3 linked regions of the Arabidopsis thaliana genome follow. The protein of the gene in region 2 interacts with the protein of the main gene of each other region in a pairwise test. Each region holds a gene or a part of one and is shown on either strand. Other genes may lie near its edges.

Region 1 (4,194 bases), on a different chromosome or scaffold from region 2:
TATTTTATAGACTGTGTAACAATTTTTTTTTCCGTAGTTTATAACTCACTCGACATATTTCAACATACTGTATACTTGTTATCAAAAATATATTTACACATAGATGTTTGCGTCACAAATCTATAGAATTTGTTTGACAAAAAGCTTATTTTAATTACTTTTTATACGAGCATATGAGATGTTTGCCACAAAGATTATCGTTGGTTTACACACAATCGCACATCATTGGTCGTAAAATTGTGTGCTGTAATCCAAATAAGACTTTGATATTAATTAAGTGAAACAATTCTAAATAAGGATTTCGAACTGTCAGAATAAAACTAGGTTATATAGGCCGTAAAAAAAGGAAAGACAAGAAGGTGAAAGTGAGATTTGGAGAAGAGGAGGAGGAGCAGAGAAGGATGGTCACGTGGGTGCCCATTCCCTGCCGTTAACAATTTGCCTTCCGTCTCGCGTGCGGTGGGTCCCATATCATCTCCTAACGAGAGAGTCGCCGCACTGTTGGACACTCTTTGACGCCGTTTAACTCCAAACGTTGCCGTTAAGTAGAGAGTGAGATTTTTATTTGGTACGGGCAAATGGGAGAGGAAGAGTAGAGACGTGAGGGGCACGTGCCCTGTAAGAGAGAGAGAGAAGCGGTGGCGACCGATCGCTTTCTCGTGATGGTATCACGTGAGGGCAAATTTATTCATCTTTGGGTCCCACTTTTTTTTCACTCTGACAAATAATATCAGAGATTAGAACTCGAGGTAAAGTAAAACTTGTGGGCCCTCTAGCTATGAATATTTTATTTTCTTTTTTGTGAATAAATAGCTGACACTTATGAATCCGACATCCGTGGTAATGCGCTCATTTACCACTAGAACTAAGGTTGAAGCTGCCAATTTAAACTAAATCGTGGATAATTGTATACATAGTAGTAAAATGATGATTTTAAAAAGTGGATTCGTACTATTTTCAATATTCATCAAATTTACGTATACTAAACTATTTTTCCTTATCATATTAAAACTGTTATGTTTATTAATTAACCGATATGTTTACATATGACATGTGTTACTTATTAAACCACATAATCAAAAGCTGTTTTTAATTTTACAATGGTGTGATAAAATAATTTTTTGACTAAAATTTAGGTAATTAATGTCATTGTCTCGTTATATTTCTCTATCTCTAATGACGTTGTTTAGGAATTTTAATGGTGGATGAAAAAAAGAAGAAGAAGAAGATAAGATAAATTATGTTGGGAATAGAAGGAGAGGGCATGTGGTGTCCTTTCTCGAGTGACCTGTCGGTTTATGGGTCATTGATAATACGTGAAAGCGAAAGCTCTGGAGAGAGAAGAGAAGAGACTCTCTCATCATGTCAAAAATAAAAATAAAAAGAGAAGATGTGTTTTCTTTTGTTCTGTTCCCACACTAGTTTTCGCTTACGTGGCCTCTCTCACGTGCTTGGACTCTTTGGGCTTCTCTATTTTAATTATTTTTTATTCTTACTGGATGGCGATTTCGATTAAGACGCGGCCCATTCTTTATTCGACAAGTGTCCCCTCTCTATTTATTTATTTCTATTTTCTTGCCGAGATACTTTTGGACCAACCAAAAAGAAGAAAATAATATATTTTTTATACATTTTCTTCTTTTTGGTTGGTCCAAAAGTATCTCACAATAAAAATAAATTCCTTTTTCTAGTCAAATAAATTTTAAAAACGTTATGATATATAAATGTTGACAAATTGAAGTAAACCATTATAATTTATGGGCCGCCCATGGGCCGATATGGTGTAAATGTGCATCTAATTCCACCGTACTGAGAATACAAATTGGTTTTCTTTTTTTGTTCATCATTTCAAATAGAACTGAATTCAAGTCAATCTCAAATTTGGTTTGGGTGCTCAAGAGATTCTCCGTGATAACAGGCCAATATTTCGGCCTGGCCCATTCAAGCGATTCTCGAGCCGAGAATATGACTGAGGGACAAAATCGTCATTTTAAGGTTACTCCACAAAAGGAGTAAATATCGTCAAAATTGATGGCGGAAATTTTCATGTGTTTAGATCGAAAGCGACGTCGTATTATAACAACACATGAGATGTGAGATTGTTAGTTAACGAAGCAGACCTCGATTCGATTTCTCACAATTCTCCCCCGATAACTGATTACTCTTCTTCTTCTTCCTCCGTCGTTGTTTCATGCGACGAATCGGTTTCAGATTCAGTCGTGGTATCTCTCGATCTTCTCTATCTTTGTCATGGATGATCTGTTACACCAGCGAGTCGAGCAGTCTCAGGTAACTCCTCCTCATGACGATTCTAATATCCATGGTGATTTTGATAACGAGGCTACGGATGAATCGCGATCCGAAACTTGTTCTGTTGTGATAGAGGGAAACTGCGACATGGTGATTGAATTAGGATTGGAATCTGGAAGTGTTATCGTTGAGAATTTAGGTGATAGTGATATTGATGTTAGCAATGATTTTGATGAACCTGATGACGACGATTTCTTTGTGGGGAGGACTGATTTTGGGCTCGAGTTCCGCGATATTGCATCTTCGGGGAATGATATCAGGTTGATTACGGTGGAATCGGGTTCAGATGATGATGATGGTGTTGAGAATGAGAGGGAATTATGGGGGATTGATCTGAATGAAGAAGATGTATATGTGAATGATGATGATGAATATGAAGATGATGATGTTAGTGTGACTATCCCTCTTTGTTGGGATTCACTCCAATTAGAAGATCGTGAGGTAACTGCTGATGAATTTGATTGGGAAGAAGTTGGTGGTGGTGGTGGTGGCGGCGTGGATGATGAGAGAGAGATACGAAGTGGCTTTGCACAAATTGATATGAATGACGAAAGTTTGATTTCTGCTTCGCCAATTATCTCTTTAGAGGGTTTAGTGACAAGGGAAAGAGCAGAGGGTTCGGGAAATCTAGGGTGGGAAGTTTTACTGAATCACACTCTAGAGATCAACTTTGATGTGGATAACAGAGAGCTGTACATTGGTGGTGATCATGACGATTATGTTCAAGACTATGATATGTTGTTTGAACAGTTTGCCGATGCTGAGGTATCCGTTATTGGTTTACCTCCGACTTCCAAATCTTTTCTCAACAATCTCCCAGTGGTTCTACTAGAAGGTGAGAACGATGATGATGGTGGTTTGGTTTGTGCAGTTTGTAAAGATGAGATGAATATCGGAAACAAAGCGGTTCAACTGCCATGTAATCATAAGTACCATAGCGAATGCATTGTACCGTGGCTCAAAGTAAGGAACACATGTCCTGTTTGTCGTTATGAGTTGCCTACAGATGATGCAGAGTATGAGCAGAGGAAGACTCAGAGAACAACAAATACTTTTGGCATGGTTCTGTAAATGGTAAACATCATCCTCGATAAGTAAGATTTTTGTCTTGACTAGTTAATAATGTAGATATTCTGTGTTTGGATTGTGTCAAGCGTTTTCTTAGTTGGTTTTGTTCTAGTATTTGGCCTCATTGTGTGACCCATGAGATGGTCTAAGCTTTAGGAGGCTAGCTTTGCAGAGAAGAACATATATGCATGTACTTTGAATCTTTGATGTTTGTTTTGCTTTTGTCTCATTTTATTGGCCTGGTTTATACATTTACCTAGAACTTCATTCCAAATGTTAAAATGTTCCGAGTTATATACTTACATGTTTCAATCGAATAAAGTAAACTCAAGCTGAAAAGTAAAAAAAATCATCTCAAAATAAATTATTCTGGATATGATTTGCAAATAATGACTAGTGGAGCTAAGAATAAAACAACCATGGTTTTCAATTTCTGTGGTTCGACATAGCTTTTATGTTAGAAAGAGTTGTATTGTCCTTTTGTGGAAACAACGTTGCCGTCTGGTAATTCTAATCATACTAATTTTGAAATCTGTTACACATAACAATCACCTTTTTTTTGGGGTCCATTTATTCTTCAATAGACTAATCTTAAGTTCATTGTTACTTCTTGTTTAAGAACTAAACATTAATGTTTTGTTGTATAGCATTTACAACACGTAAAGATTTTCTTCGTTAATGAATAAAAGTGTTATACAAAGACTAACTATGAGAAGTAAAGTTGTGTGAATGATAAATTGAAGATAGCAATAACGTGCACAAGATATTATCACCAAATATTCCAATGATTCCTTTTGCTATGAATCACTAATGTTG
Region 2 (7,916 bases):
TATCAACTGAAGAATAACAATCTTCAATATTTTGCCACAAAGGAGATTACTCTGCATTTTAAGCTGTGTATACACGACAATGAAGAACACTATAAACATATATATGAGATAGAAACAGAAAGCTCTTTTGCTCATTTCTATATCGTAAAGTCAATGTCTTTCACAAAACTATGACAAAGAAAAGAATCGTCTATTGTACTTGTAGACAAGTGTTTCCAAGGATAGTTTCATTTCCTCCTGCAGTAACTCCAAATTTACATTTCATTTTAGGAGGCAAAACTGTATATACGTTTCAATGGCTTTCCCCACTTCTTACTTTCATCACCCATAAGGGTTTCAACTACTAAAATTGTAACTCAACTGCAAAAACACCTTTTCATCTGCAGAGTTATAAAGTATACATTGTAACTCAAGTATCTATGTTCGTTTGTAGATCTCGGCAAACCCTGGGGAATTACGAATTGGGGAAGCACTGGGACAGGATTTCACCTCAAGATCAAGACCAGATTTACTTCTCTGGAACTCCCATATGTAATCAGCTTTAAGATTCTCTTTCTCAGGCTTCAACTCTTCAGAATCTGGTAACTCCTGATCTGAGCAAGGAGAAGTGCAACCAGCTTTGCTGGATTCTTCAGAACACGTTGGTATCTGAGAGTATGCAACTTTCAAGTTGTTATGTATCTCTTCCATCTTTCCTGTCATCTCATCTGCTCTGTCCATAGCGATAAGAATCTGAAAGAAACTCATACATCAATATCTCTCAGGAGATGCAAATCGAGGTTATGAAAAGATGAGTAATATATATATATATGTATATATACCTCGGCTGGATATTTCTGGAATATGGGCGCAAACCTTTGCCGGCAATACTCACTAAATAGAAGAGTGAGAAGGATTAACGGGATGGTGAAACCTGAAGCAACCGTTGATAGCTTTAACCCGAAAAAGCCTAGAGCTATAACTTGCGACAAGATCAGTGAAAAGATTGTAGTGTTGTGAAAAACAGGCCAATATTGTCCACCGCTTTCATACTTTGTAATATAGACGTTGATTATCTGCAAAAAAAAAAAAAAAGACAAACTTAGTCAGATCCAAATAATTGTACTTCAAACTCACAGACTTGTCTACCTATGGCACCACTATTAGTCGATTAGCACAAATACATTAATCATATTTCCAGAAGCAAGCACTCAACGAATGCAGGGACAATCAGACAACACCTTATGCAGTTCTCAAAGTTATAAGGTAAAGCTTCAGATAGATCATGAGAACAGCTGGTAACTTAATGCAAGGTCTCGACGACAATGTTTCAGTACAGAGTTCTTGGAATTTAGTTACAAATCTTTCAAGAAAATAAAATAATACTCTTTCATGCTTCTGAATCAGGTTTCATATCAAATTGTGAAAAAGTCCAAAAACATTTGATCATGGATATAGGTGTCTATGTCACAATTTCTTGAAGTGCTTATTGGCAACTACAAAATGAGGTCTATGTAGAAGAGATCAGAGCAGATATGCACGTACCTGATTTTTGTATATAAGATATGCGAAGAAAAAGTAGATCAGCAGAAACGGCAGTATCAGAGGCGCTATGACTGAATTGGTGAAACCCAGGAGCCCGAACAAAAGTAGTCTTGGAATTTCTGTATGGTAGGGAAACCTAAGTGTTTCATATGACTCCTCCTTGTTCTTAACAATAACTTTTGCAATCAGATTCCAAATAAGACCTACAGGTTGCATGATTTCACATGCCAAACCGGCCCAACCAGACGTGAAACAATAGGTCATGAAGAAGCCAGCCTGCATGTAGTCAATGAATAATTTCATACCGTTAGCCTTATAGAAAATAACAAAATTGAATATAGTCACACGTGTGAAAGGAACACTGAAAATTACCTGTGCTGGAACAAGTTTCGCAAGTTGTGCAGGTACGTCCCTCACACTATTCAAGACGGTAAACTGCCTGATAACAGAGCCTGATAGAATATTGACGAAGAACACATTCCAGATGGTGAAGTATAAAATTTTGAGACATGCACTTTTTTTTCTTTGACTCCGAGAAACACATCCCTCCAAGGTTGAAAAGTACATCATCAATGGCGGAACGGTATAAAAGAATAGAACCAAAATCACACTTGGTAAATACCCTGTGATGACCTGCTCCATAAACCTCCTGCAATGTTTTTCAAAGGGATAATTAAATTGAAAGGAAATGAAAAGAAATCAATTACACAGAATTTAATTGTTCTCAGTTTTTTACTGCGCTTAAATCTAGAAAAATCTAGCATAAATATATCAACTGCCTAGCAGCCTCCGACTATACGCATCTTGAAATTCTCTAAAAGCAACGTAGCTACACCTACTCTTTAGTGCCAACTCTATGTCATCTTAAGAAGAATACGAACAAAACCTTCTATTACTGAGTACAAGAAGGAAATGCTGACCTGTTCAAGAGGTCTTTTAGAAAAGGAAAATTCTTGGATAACGTTGGTAGTTGAGTCAGCCCTTGAACAAAGGTAACAGGAAAAAGAAACACAAACATGAAGGCAATTGCACCAACAAGGGTTGCTATTCTTCGCATCCAAAGCTGCCGATAAGGTATTCTGAGATTTCTCCAGTGAACATCATGAGGCTCTGGAGCCAAGTCTGCCACCCATAACATAGGATTTGGTGTTTGAAGAACTTCTGAAACAACAAGAGCATCATAACGACTCTTGAAAAACACAAAAGCAACGGGACGTTCCTGCAAATGAGCAGAAAAGTGTAAGCCTTGCATACATATTTCAGGCGCTGATACTTCATTAAGCAATGTTTACAAATGCAGTCATGAATGGAGATATATTCCTTTTAGATCTAGCTTTTAAAGGTTTTAAACAAAAAGCTCTTTGTATCACTAATTCAAGGTCCATTAACGTCTCATTGTAGTATTTTTTGGGTTCCCCTAAGTCTCAGTGTTACCTCTAAAGCTCAATTTGTATCTCAGTAAAGAACAAAAGAGTCAATTCTCCAGTTTCAGCTGTAAAACTGTGAAGACATGCAACAGGTAAAACCCCACACTATGCCTATATCATGTACAGCACAAAGTTCACCTATCAAAGTGAAAATAATTCCTTACTTCCTCTGTCGTAGTCAAAGTCAACTCACCAAGCTCCAATCCTTTGACACTGTCTGTCTCGTTCGAGATGATTTGAAAAGAATTTGTGGCTGCAGGTCCACAAAGGACGCATGACTTCAAACTCGGATTACAACTTAAATCAGGAGAAACATGTTTTATAGCCTGACACATCCTCTCCGTCTCATTCTAAAATAGAAAGTGACACAATTAATATTAGAATCTAATTAACTCAATTGTTCTCCAAAATAGACCACTGCACTTCAACTATATGTTATCATGAGCACACACCATCCACTAGTTGTTTACCAAAGATATTGCCATTCAAAATGCTGATCAGATAACCAAAGCAAAAAACTGATGTAATATCAAAAGAACCTCAATATCAGATAACATGAACTACAAATAAAAGCGTTACAAATGAGCCAAAAACAAAATCAGTACTCCAAGAATGTGGATCAATCATATAATCCCCTTAGAACTTCCTATATCTTTAACTGATACATGACTATCAATCAAATCTTTACAACAAAGTTACTGTTCTGTTATTTCATCAATCTTTGATGCCCTTGGCAAATGAAGAAGCATTTATGACAGAACACAGGGGAAGTGTTATGGTGAACATTTTATAAAGAAAGAAGAAACATGTAAAGTGTGAAAAGTGTTAAATCACATTCCGGAACATAGAGCTATCACAGCTTCCTTTTTCTATTCTAGGAGATTCCTATTCTGCTAAGGTCAACCAAGCAGAGCGGCAGTGGTGTTAGCTGAAAAATTTATTCCTAATCCGACAAAATCATAACAAAAAGACAAGTGACTGATAATCAAGTCAGCATGTTGCAAAAATAAATAAAAACACATACCATCAGTCTGTGAATGAAGCCATCACGGTAGACCATTAGGTGCGACACATAGCTTGGTGCATAGTAATTTGTAAAGTATTTGCTCACTGTCTCGCTGTAGGACTGGTCAGGAGACTGAGGAATAGCACGAATAAGAACAGTAAAATGACTTGGCTTTGAGGCAGATCCACTAATATGGGCAAGCCTCTTTTTGGCTATGTTCTTATACTCCTACAGTGGTGAAACACGTATAAACAGGGTGAGAGAGAGAGACGAGAGACCAAAACGATGAGGAAGTGATGGAATAAAGAGAAACAGTAAGCGTGAAATGAACCAAGGTATAAGATCCTCACAAAGTAAAGAAGAGCACATGCTGCAGAGGATATGATGTACAATGAGAGACAATGAACCCAGAGCCTGGAAATAAAAATAGTAAAACAAGGATCAGCACTTCATTGTACAAAATACTGGCAATCTATCTTCTCCTGCACAGAGAAACATAATCAGATAGAAAAACAGGCTATGCATATTATCTGATAATATTAATATTATATGCCGCCACTTTACCATCGTGAGCGTGGATTAAGGTTCTCAATTGTGAATACTCCCAATGACTCCAAATGGACTTCCTTGTGCTCCATCTTTTGTCCATAATAGTTAACAGGTAACACAAAGGCAAGGCAAACGACTGCGACGATTGAGAAAATACGAATGCTGCAGAGTTTAAAAAAAACACGATAACCCAACTGTGAGAGTTGTTAAGAACGAAACACACAAATACCACATAGAAATAAAACAAGTGCTGGAACATAGAAACAGTAGAAAATACCATGCTTGTCTATTCAATTACAGTAAGCATGTTATAGGTGAAGTATCATTAACCTGCAAATGACCATCCTGATGAAAACCACAGCATCCAGACCAGCAGCAGCCAACATCTCTTCCTCAGTGGTTTCCCAAGCTTTCACGAGCCAACTAGGAGAGGGCGCGAACCTCTCATACCAACGAGGATCATGACGTTTAACTCTTCCGTCAGAAAGCAATCGACCAAAGTAAACACAATAATTGGCTGGCTGCTTTCGTAGAATGGAATAAAGCGATACAAGCACTACGCATATCGCTATATTAATCCCAGCAGACGTTAAAAGTGCTGAGACATCCATCTCACTATCTCACTTTTAGTTCAAACCCTGCCTTAACAGGGTTGGCTAATCAAGCCCAGGCTGATGGCTGTTTAACAATTCACAGCAGAAACTTAGGTCGTCAAAAGATCTGTAAGGAAAAGCAAGAAATAATCTAGGATAAGAGATATGGCCATGAAGCATGTGGTAACATTGAAACATGAATTGTGGTTACTCTAACAAGTAAGGACTGATCTCAAAAGTTGCATAAGTAACGTACTTGCCACTTGATCAGTTGTAAAACAGCGATTACTTAGACAAGGGATGAAAAAACTAAAAACCTAAAACTTTCCATGTTCGGAACAACCAAAGATACGGGATCAAAATATAATCAACTCTTAAAAGTTGTGGCTGATGATAAGATAATGTAACTCAATCGTCATTTATGATTGAACTAAAACGACCCACGATTCCATAGAACCTAAGAAAACCAGAACACCAAAAACAGAGGAATCAAAGGATTTGATTCGCGAAGAGAACTCACTACGACAATGGAAACAAGAAAGCGAGCGAAACCAAAGCCCAGATTATGAAATTCGATCAAAATCGAAGAGGAGATTGAGGAGAATCAACAAACAACGAGATCGTAGATAATTCGAACAAAAAATTTACCCACAAAAGAAAAGACAAAACAATAATTTGAACAATTCTGACTTACATGGACGAGAAAAGGTAATGCTTTGCTTTGACTTGAAAGGAATCAAAGCACGAGAAAACCCGAAGAATCAAAAACCCTAAAAGTTCTTCCTTTTAACCCCAATTCCGCGGAGAATTCGCTCGCGTTCTAAACTTTGCAATATGCAAAAAATCCAACAAAATTAAAGAAAGATAATGATTGATTAGGTATACTGTATACACATTACATGTTATTATTTTGGTGAGGATATTTCTCTAGACGGAAAGATAACTGAAAAAAATCATTGGGCAAAATTCTCCACGTTGGTGTAAATGTGGAATCGCCAGATCATGTGACGTGGCATAACGTGAATGGCCCAAACTAATATCTCGTCGGCAAAGGTCTTTTTAGCCTGTGATAGTGACTACCTTGTCGGCGAAATTATGACCGTTAGATTTTTGTAAAGCGATACGATTGTGACACGTGGAATTAACATTGACAGTTAACAACAGTTTTTGCCCGGGAAAATTAAAAAAGGTCGCATATCTATTATCCGCGTGGTGAGAGTGTGAGACCTACCCCATAACAAGGACCGGTCATATTAAATTATGCCCATTTGACTATTCATTCTCTTTATTATGTATGACTATATAATAACTCGATTCTCTTTATTAGGTGTGACTATGAATTATGATACATGCTTTATGATGCGGTATGCATATAACTGGTTTAGCATCTTTACATAATTATCGGTTTGATATTCCCAACGGTCAGTATCTTTATTCAAAGCTCATAAGAAATAGGTAAAAGAGTGATAGGTTTCCTCTTTCCAGTTTATTTGTGAGATTACTTGCTTATAAAGCAAATAAGCCTCTCTGTATATTCATCAACAAGGACTAGTCTGCAATCACAAGTAAAAACAACGCTGCTCGAGGACGGAATCGCTGCCCCACGATGTGGTAGAGTGCATCCTAGAGAGACTTGCTGTGGATTCTCTGCTGAGATTCAAAGGCCGTGTCTAAACAATGGAAATCAATTATCGAATCTCCATTCTTCCAACAAAGACAGTTGACAGAGCGTCAGCAATCAGGTGATCCAGATGTTCTCATGGTCTCCATATGGCGTTCCCTTTGATAGCTGTGACGGTCTCGTTTGTCTCATGGTCTCCATATGGCGTGACGATTATTGTAAACCGGATATAAAACATCTAACTACACTGGTGTTGGGTTCCTCATCATCGGTCAAGATCCCTACTCCTTGGGAGAAGGCGAAGGAGGACACAATATACTTAGTTCCCTTTGATAGCTGTGACGGTCTCGTTTGTCTCTACGGAATACGACATATCTGGTTTTGGAAGCTTATATAACCTTCATTCATTTTTTTAATAGGTTTGGTTACACCACTCGAAGACTCGTGTAACACTTGATGACAGAGATTTCTCGGCCAACTTCTTCATTAATCAACTCATTAAGCTATATCGGCGAAAATAGAAAAAAAAAAAAAAAAAAAAAAAAAAAAAAACAATTCAAACAGATCCTGAGACATGGTTTGACACCAATTTATGGAGGGTCTTCAGACATTCACCAAATGATGCAGAAGCGAGGGTCTCTCTTGAGCAATTGTGTTCAGTACACACTTCACTTTCTCTGTTCCAAGCTTCTCCTCGAGCATTCTCCACAGTACTGGAATGCTCTGCTTATAAACGAATGCATATCAGAAATCAAAGTCAACCATATTTCTATCGTTCTGCTATACGGAAAACTCCCAATCTATTTTTCTGCACTTGTGAGATTGACAATAGTGGCAATTTTTTTGATGACTTTATTTGGACAAGAAGAGACCACTGTTACCTTTGTCAGCCATAGCGTGTAGACAGCAGCATGCAATGCTTGAGCTTGAAAATCTTCAAATTTGGTATCCGGAACGGTCATAGAAGAATCTAGAAGACGGATCTCATTATCAATGAAGATGGCAATTTCTTCATTCATAATAATACTCTCTCCGGTTTCAGGTGAAGCATCTGAATGATTGCAAGCGAAATACATTATCCAATTAAGAGAGAGGAACCGCCGGTGAAGCCATAGTGCCTGGAAGAAAAAAGTATAACAACTCAAATAAGTCACTAATTCAATCATCTCTGTATTAGCATGACAACAAACTGTTTA
Region 3 (4,322 bases), on a different chromosome or scaffold from region 2:
AGCACTTATCTTTATTTGTTATAGAAATTTATTATTTAAAAGAAATTCGTCTTTATAGAAATGTGCATGTGTTTTTTTTATTAGTAACACATTTTCATGCAACAGGAATCTTCGCTTATCTGTAGTGTACATCTCATGAGCCCATATTCATAGTTGTAAAGCAACACCTTCTCTGCAGCTTTTTCTTTCCTATTGTTTTTTGTATCCATAGTTCACATCTACACACTATATAAGGCTATTACAAACAATGATACAATATATGTTCTCATATAATTTGATCTTAATTTTCAAGATATTTAAGGTGGGAAAATATCGAGATAGTATACAATGGAAATCGTTACCACGTGCATGCCAATCTTTAGTAGAAGAAGATTCCTAGATTCCAACAAGAACATGCGCATTTTTTCACGAAAGGCTGGAAAGTTTAATATATAATGGTCGAAAAAATAGGCATAATCTATTTAAGTACTAGCTTAAGTGTTTTACGCTAGATCTGGTGTTGACACTTGTACACCTGGTTTTAAAGTTGCAGAGAAAACTAGATTAATGCTCAAATTGTAGTAAGTAGATTGGATAATTTACACTCGGAAAAAACAAGTTTTTTCAGAAGAATTAGACTGTTGCTCACTTGAGAAAAATCTAGCTAGCTTTGTTAATTGAGGATAGTTAGTTATAGTATTTGAATGACATTAAGGTGTTTGAATATCGCATGAATTGTCGCCTTGGTATTTGGGCAATTACCGGTCATTATTTTGATCTTTGTGATGTCAACTAATCGATCCCAACCATATATATCATAAACTACTGTCTCTTAATTGATCCATTGTGTTTTTAATTTTATCATTACTTTTTTTAACTAGTTGAGAGAATGATTATCTAACCCCTTTCATATTCAGAAAACTTAGGTTTTGAGTTTTTGCTTTATTTGCTGCTCTCTTGAATTAATAGAGCTCTCGTATGCGATTGACTTTGGGTGATTTTTTTTTGTTGGAAAAGCAAATTTCATTGACCAATATAACTAAACTAACACACTACTTCCATGTGGTTAAGGGCCGGGATCATTTATTATTTGCATCTTTTATACGACAATGACAAGGATTCGTTCTCATTACTCCATCCCATTTTGTGGTATGTAAAATCCTAACTTTTTTACTGCATTGATACAACATTTTATTTTAGCATTAGATCAATACGATGGACATATGTCATCAAGTGAGGGGGTAGAAGTTTGCAACTAATGTTTTTGTGCTCATGAATCAATCTCTTCTAGGTAACATTATTTCACTCTTTTCTATAGCGAATACTGCAATGCTTTTACGTTTTAACTAAACATGACTAAACCAAATACCAAAAAAAAAACGAGTAACACTTTGGTGGTTCCTATCTAAGTTGACCGGATCACTCGATTTGATAAAAAAAATTATAGTAAAAGTTTTTGTTTTTGAATACAAATTATATATTTGACTAAAATTCGAAACTTAACCGAAACTAAAACCTTAGCAGATAATCTATAGTATAGTAGATTCATAAACCGAAAAAACAAAAATCTAAACCTAAACTGAGTAATTACTAATGGTGGATCCTTAAAACAAAGCCATAATTTGCAATTGCAACAAATGTTTTTGTTTGGAGTAAAAACCAAAAAAAAAATGATGGGGAGCAACTAAAAATGTAAAATGGTCCCAATCTAATCGCATAAGTTGGGAAGATAGTTAGTAGTTCTCCTACTCCCAACTACATCCTCTTCAATGCTCAATCTCGTCTTCTTCTTCCTCTCTATTTAATTTCCCTTGTCTCTCTATCTCTCTCAATTTCCTCATCTGGGTCTTCCTCGTTTGCTCCGCTTAAGCACCATGAAGGTCACCGTCGTCTCCCGCAGCGGCAGAGAAGTCCTCAAAGCTCCCCTTGACCTCCCCGATTCGGTACTTTCTCGTTTCTTATGATACTCTCTTCTCCGATCTGCTTCTTCTTCTGATTCGTGGGTTTGTTTCCAAAATGTGATTGAAGGTTTTTGTTCTTTAGTTTGGTCCCTCAATGTAGGGAAAGTTGCATGCTTTATGATTTTTGGGTTGTTGATTTCGATTTCGTGTGTTTTGTGCTTCGCAGGCGACTGTTGCTGATCTGCAAGAAGCGTTTCATAAGAGAGGTAAAGTTTCCAAAGTTTTCATTTTTACTTGAAATTTGACTTGTCGAATGTTGGTATAGATCTCACCTGAGTGTGTAAGCTTAAGCTAGTGTTTATGTGTTTGAGTTCTCCTTATACCATTTGATGCTTATGGGGTTATATAATCAAGATCTGTGTGGAAGCTTAAGGAGTATTTAGATTTGATAATGTTTTCTGCTGATAAGGATCACTTAAGCTTCTAAACACAGTTTTGGATTTGAATTAATCATCACAACCTTTTGTCATTTATGGATCAGTCCCTTTTTAGCTTTAATAAAGGTTCACTTTAGATTGTCCATCAATGGCAATTATCTGAAATCATCTTACTATACAGTACAATGTATATTCTGTATGTATTATATTTATCTCGTTCATTCAAATCTTAGTTTGATTTTCTCTCAGTAGGTATTAAACTGTTTGATTTGGGTTTTGTTGTTTCAACAGCTAAGAAGTTTTACCCGTCGAGGCAAAGACTGACTCTTCCCGTGACTCCTGGATCGAAGGACAAACCTGTTGTCCTCAATAGCAAGAAATCACTGAAGGAGTACTGTGATGGAAACAACAACTCCTTAACTGTAGTCTTCAAAGACCTGGGGGCACAAGTTTCCTACCGCACACTCTTCTTCTTCGAGTATCTTGGCCCTCTCCTTATCTACCCTGTCTTTTACTACTTCCCTGTTTACAAGTTTCTTGGTTATGGAGAGGACTGTGTGATCCATCCGGTCCAGACGTACGCTATGTACTACTGGTGCTTTCACTACTTCAAACGGATCTTAGAAACGTTTTTCGTACATCGGTTCAGCCACGCAACCTCCCCAATCGGGAATGTGTTCAGGAACTGTGCTTATTACTGGAGCTTTGGTGCTTACATTGCTTATTACGTCAACCATCCCTTGTACACTCCAGTTAGTGACCTTCAGATGAAGATTGGTTTCGGGTTTGGTTTGGTTTGCCAAGTCGCAAACTTTTACTGTCACATATTGCTGAAGAATCTGAGGGACCCCAGTGGGGCTGGAGGCTACCAGATTCCACGCGGTTTCCTCTTCAACATTGTTACATGTGCCAATTACACTACCGAGATTTACCAATGGCTAGGATTCAACATCGCTACTCAGACCATTGCAGGATATGTTTTCCTCGCTGTTGCTGCTCTAATCATGACTAATTGGGCTCTTGGAAAGCACAGCCGTCTGAGAAAGGTAAACATAGCGGTCTCACGATATGATTTTAGCGGAACTGAAAATTCTCAAATAATGTTCTTATTGTGGATTGTTTGATATTGGTATTGCAGATATTTGATGGAAAAGATGGAAAGCCAAAGTATCCAAGAAGATGGGTGATACTTCCTCCATTCCTTTAGAAGCCATTGTTGCTTATCAGTAAAAGCTCTTAATAAAGCTGAAAATGAGACTTTCTTTGGGTTCTCTGTATCGTTTCCTTTTTTGTTCGGTCTATGTATTGGTTATAACATGTTTATTCCTTTTGTTTCAATATGTTTTGATTTTTGAAGTTAGAGAGATTTAGAAATGTACTTGTGTAGTTGTTTCTCACGCAAACCAATTCCTCTTTATGTATCGCATACATGAGTCAATAATAAATATGATTACTAGTAACATAAATCAGTCTATGCGGCATTCTATAATGACAATTGCAATGAGTTTAGACGTCGATGAAACATACAAGTTGTATAAATTAAAAATAACATTCATAAGATACACATTTTTGTTTGTCCCATAAAAGAATATGTCAATAGATCAAATCAAACGATAAAATGTTATGCTAAACAAAATTACCAGAAGGAAAAAGAAGCAAATGAAGCTTTCATAGAAAGACCACAAGAACCGGGAGAGAGTAATCAAGCTGATGAATTTTTTCCACACAGTTGGTCAGAGAGTTCATCTCTCAAGACCGATGAAGCCTCATCGGCAAGCTTGCAGCTTCGTTGTCTGTAGTTCATGTCATGTTGCTGAGACAAAGGTTGGTCATCCAAAGTTTGATCCTCCATATCGATAATAATGTTGTGCAGCAAGCAACAGACAAAGATTATCCTTGGTAACCGGTTTCTATCAGGCATCCACATTACCCCGTTTATTATCCTCCACCTGTCTTTAAGCTTCGATAGTGCCATCTGCGCGGCTTTTGTTGCCTCGGAGTGTCT

The links. Proteins that work in one complex are often made in the same cells at the same time.
Region 1: the proteins of AT1G10090 (region 2) and AT5G08139 interact in a protein complementation assay, tested with the Arabidopsis thaliana proteins (one large-scale study listed by BioGRID).
Region 3: the proteins of AT1G10090 (region 2) and CER10 interact in a protein complementation assay, tested with the Arabidopsis thaliana proteins (one large-scale study listed by BioGRID).

Annotation. Positions count from the first base shown.
Region 1 is NC_003076.8:2,614,237-2,618,430, forward strand, and holds AT5G08139 (RING/U-box superfamily protein), read left to right. Parts: upstream 1-1,897; 5' UTR 1,898-2,250; coding exon 2,251-3,381; 3' UTR 3,382-3,652; downstream 3,653-4,194.
Region 2 is NC_003070.9:3,290,155-3,298,070, forward strand, and holds AT1G10090 (Early-responsive to dehydration stress protein (ERD4)), read right to left. Parts: upstream 6,045-7,916; 5' UTR 5,794-6,044; intron 5,227-5,793; 5' UTR 5,118-5,226; coding exon 4,837-5,117; intron 4,669-4,836; coding exon 4,522-4,668; intron 4,372-4,521; coding exon 4,308-4,371; intron 4,186-4,307; coding exon 3,976-4,185; intron 3,302-3,975; coding exon 3,116-3,301; intron 2,744-3,115; coding exon 2,445-2,743; intron 2,174-2,444; coding exon 1,897-2,173; intron 1,801-1,896; coding exon 1,525-1,800; intron 1,056-1,524; coding exon 822-1,055; intron 733-821; coding exon 418-732; 3' UTR 157-417; downstream 1-156. Other genes in the region: BCAT-2 (branched-chain amino acid transaminase 2), read left to right, coding at 1-10; AT1G10095 (Protein prenylyltransferase superfamily protein), read right to left, coding at 7,324-7,443, 7,602-7,838. UniProt on the Arabidopsis thaliana protein: Acts as an osmosensitive calcium-permeable cation channel.
Region 3 is NC_003074.8:20,520,388-20,524,709, reverse strand, and holds CER10 (3-oxo-5-alpha-steroid 4-dehydrogenase family protein), read left to right. Parts: upstream 1-1,611; 5' UTR 1,612-1,853; coding exon 1,854-1,922; intron 1,923-2,106; coding exon 2,107-2,146; intron 2,147-2,608; coding exon 2,609-3,363; intron 3,364-3,455; coding exon 3,456-3,524; 3' UTR 3,525-3,780; downstream 3,781-4,322. Other genes in the region: AT3G55350 (PIF / Ping-Pong family of plant transposase), read right to left, coding at 4,020-4,322.